Danio rerio: one gene and its partner. The protein of the gene in region 1 interacts with the protein of each later gene in a pairwise test. Links are inferred from orthologs where the notes say so. Each region holds a gene or a part of one and is shown in the gene's direction. Other genes may lie near its edges.

Region 1 (4,767 bases):
AAGTGTTTGTGCTATAAATTCCACTTTTACTTACTTTATTTGAAGTTTTTCAGTCAACTGTTTTTCAGCCACAGCAAAAATGTATGTAAGTGCTGTTAAGGGGGAGATGTTTAAACACATTCTTAGTTATTTAGCAAGATACTAATATTCAGCTTCCATTGCAATATAGGAGAAGGCTTAACTAGGTTCATTAGGAAAAGTAAACACAGTTATAAGAAATGCTGACATTTTTTTTTTTACTTTTTTAAACATCATGGGATAAATTTGAAAAACAATTAAAATTTCAAAGACTGAATAATTTTGCCTTTAAATGTATGTCATTCATATATAATACTTACCTTTGAATAAGCTCTATTGTGGCAATACTTGACTTCTGAAATAGGTTTAAAACATAAAAGAAACAAAAAACACAAACGCGAGCATGCACACACACACACACACACACCCACACAGAAAGAGCTGCAGTGAAATGTGTTACTCTCTCATCAATACTGAACATGTATAAAAAACTGAACAGCAAAAAAAAAAATAATAATAATAATTAATTTTTTTAAAGTTTTTTTTTATTTTTTAAGTTTCAAATAATTATAAAAAAAATAAGCTTATCAAAAGAACACACACATACTTTAGATATGGATGGAAACATGTTTGTCAAAGCCGCAGCCGAATCTCCCATCTGTCAGTGATCGTCATCTTCGTGCCATGATCAGTCCCCTAATCCTCATCGCTTCGCTAGTGTCTGAAGGAAAGGCGCGTTCACATTTTACCGGATCTGGACCTACATATTTGGTGATGTACCGTATTGATGTCGACGCATTCAAGCAAAAGATCCGAACCCAACACGATTCATTTATTCAACTTTGGGCTGACTATTTTGTTAAAGAATCAATAGTTTTAAACCTGGTGCACTTTCAGATTTAAACCTCAGCTGGGTGTTTCATTAGTGCTGTGCTCCACACTGCATAAAAGATCATTCAGTTTCATTTGGAGTTTCTGTGCTAGCCTGCTGATCCTGAGGGCGTTAGCACTTTCCCTTTTGTTTTTAGCTCGTTTTACACTGGAACAACTAAATTAATGTAATATTACAACATCAATGATGTAAAAGAAATCTCATGAAATTAAAAATGGTTATTAATACTTTGTTTTTAAATAGAAATATGCCCCTTGTTAAAGTAAATAAGCCCCAATCTCTCGGTACAGGGGGTAAATTTTGCATTTCAAAAGAAATAACTTTCTGGCCCTGGCCACGACCTACCGTATATCATTGGTTTTTCTCCACACCCCCACCCACTGCCATAATCTGTCGTCCCAGCAACAAAATCCCGCCCCTGAAGAATCCATACCATTAAAACAGGAACTCAGCTCAAGCATGTGCAGCCCAGAGTAAAAATAAAACAATAAAAATAGTGGAAGTCATAGTAAAACTGCCCGACTTTGTCTTTCTCTTTTTGGAAAAGAACTTTTTTTTGTTTCAAGTTTAACCAACTTCCTAAAAACATGTATTTTCTGCAGAAACTGGAGGAGGAGATGTTGTCAGACAGGGCTGTGATTGGCTGGAATTAATGAGAGCGAGACGTCATCATGAGTGAGCGCTTCAGACCCCGCCCCTTATTGTGAACTGTCTGCGCTCTCCGTTTATTTGTCCAATATGTGTGTGTGTATGAGTGTGTCTGTGTGAGAGACTGAGAAGAACGTGCAACATACTTTTAACAGACATTAAAATTACAAACAGATTTAGATGCTAACCGTCAAGCCAACATGGACTTTTGAATGGGATTTATAAACTGCTTGAACTCAGAAAGATGGAGGTCGGTATTATTATTATTATTATTATTCATTTTAAAATCCTCTCATCTTCTTTCTGATGTGTGTTCAGACTTTCAGAATGAGTAGAAATGTTCAGAGAAAGCTTCAAGCGTGCTGTCAGGGTTTCAAACAAGATCCGGGTTTATTTTTTTCTCGCCGGTAAGCAACTGCTGGGTTTTCACCGTTCAGATGCGCTGTCAGCCGGTAACCCTTGCCCTCAGTCTCGCTCACAGCCCTAAATTTGCTGTGAAATGTGATGCCGCGAAGCCTGAGAGTGAAAGGAAGAGAGAATATATGGCACTTTATGACTGTCGTTAACACGAGCTGGGCTTTTGAAAGGAGAGGTTACAGCTTTAAGCGAGGAATGAAATCTCTGTTGTTGTAGGTGGATTTTTGGTAGGTTAACAACACTTTTGCTGTTGAATGAATGAAAAAAATCCTGGCTCTTTTTGGTGTATTTTGTGGTGTTGGTAGTGGTTTGTGTGTGTCGAAGTAAAGAACTTAGTGATAGTTCACCTTAAAATAAAAAATTTACTCACTATTTAGCTGACATCTTATTTAATTGAGCTATTTATTGAAAGAAACAAAAGTCCAGGATATATATATATATATATATATATATATATATATATATATATATATATATATATATATATATATATATATATATATATTACTTTCTTAATATTTTGTGGTGTGTGTATGAGGAGTGAAGAACTTAGTGATAGTTCACCTATAAATAAACATTTCTCACTATTTATTCTCCCTCAAATGGTTCCAAACCTGCAAATTATGTTGAACTAAAGCAGGGTGTGAATTACAGGGGGGTTTGGCGGGGATTGAGTACATCAAAACAAGTTATATGAGGGGAGGGGGGATTATTAATATTTTTAATAATTAAATGTATAATCACATACATTTGATCTCTCTATAATGGTGTATACCATTGTAAATGCATTATCGCACCAGTCAATGCTAGGAGAAATATCATTCAGACACATCATTTCTATAGTTTGACTTACAGTGGCCTTTAAAATAGTCACTAAATATCCCTCAAAACACTGAAAATGAAGTAAATTAGATGTAATTTATTAATTTGATTCACTGAAGCATGTGTTCCCCCCACCCCTACCCCAATCGTCAATGTATAATTCACACACTGCACTAAAGAATATCTCATGAAAAAAAGCTAAAAACCTGTCACTATTGACTTCCATAGTATGAAAAGATAATGGTTACAGGTTTTCAGCTTTCTTGAAGTATGTTTTTTTTGTGTGTGTGTGTTCAACAGAAGTAAGAAATTCAAACATGAACAAGTGAAGGGAGAGTATTTCCAGTTTTTGGTGACCTGTCTCTTTAATATTGCTGATTTGTGATTTTCATTTGTGACTTTGACCACGGCTGTGGTTTGTGATTTCACGCATGTCTTGCTCAAAGCCAGAATCAGTAAGAAGATCACAACAGGTGGCTAAATATTTTGCCCAGTATATGACATGCTGAGAGTATCAAGTGCAATTTTGCACAGTAAATAAAAAATCTGTTTATTAGCACTGTATTATTTTCAACAAAGATTTTTTTTTCGTGTGTATTTATACATTTACTTGCACTTTTGAAATGATCAGGCCATGATATCTGTTTCTAAAACTTTGAAGCATGAAGAAGAAACTTTGAAGAACAGATTTATAGGTTTATGAACCGCCTGTCCATTCTTTATTTTATGGATTTCTTAAGTGTAAATCTAAGATTTAGGGAAGCTATGTGAATTTATTTTATGAAATATGTTTTTTCTCTTGCTCTCCAAAGCTGCATTTTCTTTCAAAGTGCATTGAAACATTAATAGTGTCAATTATTTACTATTACTATTTAGTAAACTATTACTTAATGGAAAAAATGATGACTTATTATTATCTTATAATATTATCAAATAATATCTTATTTGAAACTTTAATGAAAAATTATCAGACCTTTATAAAAAAATTGACTCAAACCCAAACATGACTACATGAATAAAAGAAGTCACTCACTCACTCACTCACTCACTTTCCTTTAGCTTATTCCCTGCTTTATCAAGGGTCGCTACCGAATGAATCGCTAATTTCTCTGACATACATCTTTATCGACAGATGTCCTTCCATTTGCAACCTAGCCCTGAGAGTACAGTAATTCTAAGTATACTAAACCTTCAGTGCTGGAAAACACCTACACATTCTCTTATTCACACAATACTGCCAGTTTGGTTTATCCAATTCTACCAATCCAAACACTCCAAGGTTACCGATCCAAATGAAGTTACATTGCATGTGTTTGGCCTGTGGGGGAGACAGAAGGAAACCCACACATACACTGGAACACATGCAAACTCCACACAGAAAGGCAGCCTTCTTGTTGTTAGGGAACTTTGCTGACCACTTAGCCACCATGCCGCCTAAAATGAGAAGTATAGTCATATAGAAAAATGACACATAAATAGCTGTATACATGAGCATATACGTAGATATGTAAAACATAATTGTTACTATTTCTTACATTTTGAACGATTCAATGCAGCTTTTTCCGCATTAAATAATTAATTTCTTACAAAATCAAAAAGAAGAAGTCTTACTAGATCTAAAGCTATTAATGTTGCTTCTGTATTATATTTCATATGTCTTACTTCCAGGTTTTTCCCTCACTTGACCTTTTGGCCATTTCTGCGATCTTCCTTATACTGTTTATTTTAATGGTTTGTGATGTAGCGTGACAGATATCAGTTGTGAAATCACACCCACAGACCGACTTGATTCCACTCACATGATTCCAACAAGGGAATAAGGCTCATGTCATTCATTCGAGCTTGATCAAATGGAAAGTTACTTTAACAAATGGCCCTAAAAAAGTGGTTCCCCTCAACCAAAACTGAAACATAAGTTATTTAACTTATGAACACCCAACAATAAATTAGTTTAAAAGTTTCATCCAACA
Region 2 (4,701 bases), on another chromosome or scaffold:
AAACAACTTTTGAACAGTTATTTTATAGCGCAATAACATTCCTCAGTTGTACAATGTGTACTGTATTTTTGATAAAAATAAATGCAGACCTGCTCAGCAGGAGGAGCTTATTTTAAATCATTTTTAAAAATCCTACTGACCCCAAACTTTTGACCAGTAGTGTACATACAATCAAAAAAATTGCATAACAGTTTCAATATCCACTCTGCCAAAAAAAAAAAAAAAAGATTCAGAAAGGTCAACTTTATATCTCTTGAGAAACTGGTTGGTTGGATATATTTTCGGTATAATTTTAAAGTAGATTTCACTGACTTTATAGTGACACAATATTTGTTGTTTTAAGATAGATCAAATTCCAATTGACATTCTCAAATTGGTTATTCCAAAAGTACTTATGTCTAAAAGTTGCAGGATAATAATTCAAACTTTTAAGAAATGCATAATTACATTTTCAATCTTTGATATCAATACCATCTAATAAAATCTCTTTTAACTGTTAGATTATTTGGTTCACTGAAAAATGTGCTCTTCTGCATGACGTCAGGTATACATTTCCATTGGATATCCTGTCATTGTCACTGCATGATGATCTGGAAAGCATCTGGAACACAAGATACATTGCAGAAAAAAGTTAGCTATTATCGGCGGTCTAGCTTTAAGTTTTTAAGAGACAATCACGTTAGCATCTTGGAAATTCTTGTTAAAAGCGGAAAACAGCCGTTTCAGTCTGCGGAGGATGTCATGATAAACTGTTTATGCAAGTACAGTCAGTATGTAAGATTAGAGGAGGAGACATTGTGATATCGTTTTGAGAGGTGTGGAGGGTGTGATAACTTGACATTAGCCTATTGAGTCACCGCGTGTCGTGAGTTGACATCAGTGTGTGTGTGCGGGATGCGTTACAGCCTCACTTCGATCCTGTCCTGCTGGAATCTTCAGCAAACACGGAAGAAGCGGCACAACGCGGCGGTAAGTGACAAATAATGGCCTGGATAACACAATTGTTGTAGATATCAATGGCAATCCAGATCCACTGAGTCCAGTCCTGTGCGGTCTGTGCAGCGGTGATGTGATGTGAGGTGGGCTTAAAGCGCTCTATAGCGAGGCTCTATTTCTACCGGATCAGCAGATACTCGCTCGCCCGCTCTATAGGTATGCGGTATCAAGTGTGTTAGGGTTATTTTTGTACTTCTGTCAGTTCGGCAGGTTTTCGCGCTGAAAGAAGTGAACATGACCTAGCAGAATTGGTAATGAATCATTTAGAGCAGGGCATAGATAGTTTCTGGAAAGGAGTGGAGCACACGAGCATCTCAGCGGTAAGCAAAATGTTGTATTCCTGCGTGTGGAGTTGAAATGCATGCACAATGTGAAGTAGCATAGTTGAGTGTAGGGTTTCTGCTTACGTCAGATCAGTTATGTTTTATAAGGAAAGTTAAAGTTTAAACTCGCTCGATTGTGATGTATGAACATTTTCATGGTGTCCGTCAGTGATAATGTTGTGTGGATTTGCTCTTATGGCAAAATGAGCGCAGGGTGGTGCGCGCAAACTGCAGTGACATTGAGCTGCTGCCATGTGAGATGTAGCCTGCGCACTAGACTTGTTTCAATCGCAAAAGTATCATCTACTTTTCACAAAGTTGAATAATAATTACGTTTTTCCATTATGCCCGGATGGTACTTTTTTTTGGAGGTTGTGGGAAAAATGTAAAAGCCAGCACGTTCTGTAAGAGCTTTGAACAGAGGTAATGACAAAACACAACATTGCCTCACAACACAGTTGCCTTTCACATTCAATGACTTCAGATTTCAATCCAAACTCTTTTTTTTATTCATTTGATCCAAGTTTAATTTCGAACTAGAAGGTAAGGTGAACTCTGCATGAATGTTTGAATGTATAAGGAAGTTTAGACATGCTTGAATTTTAATAAGCTGTTGGTAAAAGTAACCCAAAACTGTCCACAATGTTTGTATATTTCTTTTGAAGTAGGCAAATGTTATTTTTTTATTTTTAGAAAATGTAACTTTATTTCAATCTAAAGTGGTATAATATCCTTTACCCTTACATCATTAGGGAAAAATTCAAAAAGCAAGGCATTGATCTCATGTGCCTACATTGTAAACATTTATATGATCAATTAGTCCTGGAAGCAAACATTTTAAGTTGATTAATCTAAGTTAACCATGATCTAACTTAATTTAACAATTTATGCAAGCAGTTTTAAGTCAGTTTAACGTAATATAAGTTCAAAAGACTCATAAGGTTAACCCTTTTGATGCACTACATGGGTCTAAAGTGACCCATCTAAGTGTATTTTTTCTATATCTATTTTATAGCTTGTGCATCAAAGGGTTAATTTGTTTCAGCTCAAAAACTTAAGGCAACTGTTTTTCTTTTACAGTGTAGTAAAGTTGCACAATGGCTAGGATATTACTGAATGCTATTGTTGTTTGAGGATCCCATAGGGGTGCAGTTTTCTATAAAATTACTCATACTTTACAAAAATGTTCATGAATTAACAAAACAATTTGAGTATTCTGCTCAATTGTAAAACATGTTTATGGTGATAAACAGACAGACGGTTATATTATATGTTGTTTCTACACACAATCAATGTCACAAACTGTTTTCCTTCATTGACTTTCATTCAAACAGAACGGCTTCCGCTGCTTTCAGCGTTTTTAAGCTAGTCTTCAAGGCCCCTCAGGGGGAGGTGCTCTGCTGACCCATCTCTCACTTAGTCTGGGCACGTCAGTTACTTTCAACACAGTATCATTGCAATTTTCAACTGTTTTATGTTTTGCTGTGTTTTGTGGCTAATTTGTTTATTCAAATGATCTACTAAAACTCCACTGATGGTTATGTTTATTGAGGGTGTTAACGGTGCATGCTTGCTCTCATTTACCACTATTGGTTTAATGATTGTTTTGATCGGCTGGAACCAGTTTATAATTAAAATGTCAGGAAGATCTTTTGATTTTGTTGAGTAGGCTCCAAAGAAAGCTTCCAATAGGTAGTTTTTTATAAGTAAGGTTAAGTTTCTTACCATTGTTGTCATCATGTTGAACAATGTGCATTATTGAGATCTGGGTCGTTTTTCACCTCACAACATTTGTGTTTTGATGGTTGATCGTCATGTCTAACAGTAACTCTCTCTGTGCTAAACAAACCAAAAGTGTTGTGTTTTATTTCAGTGTCTGACAAATAAAGCAGTTTGTTGGGCTTGCCTGAACACAGCGCCTCATTTACACTTTCTAGGAACATTGTTCACTTCTTTTCCGAAACTAATAAACAAGCTCAGGCCTTGAGAGGAGCAGCACAGTTTATTTTCCGGTTTTTAAGCATGATTTTAATTGGCTTAAGTGACGGTACATATTCTCCATAATCAGAATTCCACAGAATTGTTTCACATTTACGATTAGACTGTTATAAACACAGAGATATCTGAATACCATAAGAGAAAAACCACTGGCACTTCCTGACACTCCTCTGCGAGTCTGAACAGGACTTGCCTGATTCCTTCTCTGGAAAAATTGTTATTCAGTTGTTATTTGATTAGAGCCTTCTGACATCCAAACATTTTTTTATGCAAGTCTTGCTAATGCTGACCCACTTTAGTTTCAAACAGCATTTACCCTTCAACTTTACAGTATTATGAAGGTAATGCTACTATGCGTAGTCAAAATGATTTGTGGTTACATCCAATTGACCTCATTACATTAGTTGCTTGCGTGATTTAAGTGCTTGTCGGTCTGGATTCTTTTTAGATGGAAAAAAAGATAAAAGCTAATACTTGTAATGAAACGACTTGCAGGTTGTATGCAATGTAATCTAATGAATCACTTCTTCTGTTGGTTCAGTCAGGGCTAACCTGATGTGGTAATTGGTCTCTGTTTATCTGCAGTTCAATATTATCTAGCTCAGTTTAGTGAGTCAGCTCAATGGCATGTGTAAGGTATGTTCATGTGCAAATGCTATGCACTTTCATCATTCACAATCGTCATTCAGGCAGTTTCCTTTGGTGTCGATGATTCGCACATTTGTAAAAAGACTTTGAAAAATAATACTTGAAACTAGGGCTGCACAATATATCGTTTTAGTTTCGATATCGCAATGTGCATATTCGCAATAGTCTCATTGCAAAGGTATGCAATGTCCAATCTGAATTACAGTTGACCAAAAGCCACAGAATTGTATTTATATGGAATTTATATGATTTCTGCAAAAAACATGTCTTGCTTACAATTTTTGTCTTGTTTCTAATCCAAATATCTACATGTCATAGTGAAAGCAAGTTTATTTAACTTTCCTAATTTCCTTAAAACAAGCAAATAAACTCTTAATTTTCAACTATTTCATCTGACAGTGAAAACTAAACAATTTTTTTACTTGGTCTAAGAATGTTTTTGATATTCAGACTAGACAATTGTGAGTAATAAGTTTCTGTAACTGAATACTGTTAGGTTCTCCAGAAAACTGTGAAAAAGAGCTCTTCAAACCATCTTCTGAAACTATTCATATCGGAATATTTATGGCAGAAAAATAAAATATTGCAATATCAGATTTTTACAATATCATGCAGCGCTTCTTGAAACCAAATATAAATAATAAATCGAAATACTGTCTCATAGCAAATTTACCTTTTAAACCAATAAGTGCAAAGAAAAGTATGTATTATTAAATTTTAGATGAGATAATTGTTA

The links. The genes of interacting proteins can lie anywhere in the genome.
Region 2: the proteins of cass4 (region 1) and cdc42ep2 interact in binary tests that used the Homo sapiens proteins (3 or more experiments, as listed by UniProt). The link is inferred for Danio rerio from reciprocal best matches to the Homo sapiens genes CASS4 and CDC42EP2.

What each region holds. Positions count from the first base shown.
Region 1 is NC_133186.1:29,872,672-29,877,438, reverse strand, and holds the start of cass4 (cas scaffolding protein family member 4), read left to right. Parts: upstream 1-1,644; 5' UTR 1,645-1,802; coding exon 1,803-1,808; intron 1,809-4,767. UniProt on the Homo sapiens protein: Docking protein that plays a role in tyrosine kinase-based signaling related to cell adhesion and cell spreading. Regulates PTK2/FAK1 activity, focal adhesion integrity, and cell spreading.
Region 2 is NC_133180.1:38,620,877-38,625,577, forward strand, and holds the start of cdc42ep2 (cdc42 effector protein 2), read left to right. Parts: upstream 1-1,114; 5' UTR 1,115-1,316; intron 1,317-4,701. UniProt on the Homo sapiens protein: Probably involved in the organization of the actin cytoskeleton. May act downstream of CDC42 to induce actin filament assembly leading to cell shape changes. Induces pseudopodia formation in fibroblasts in a CDC42-dependent manner.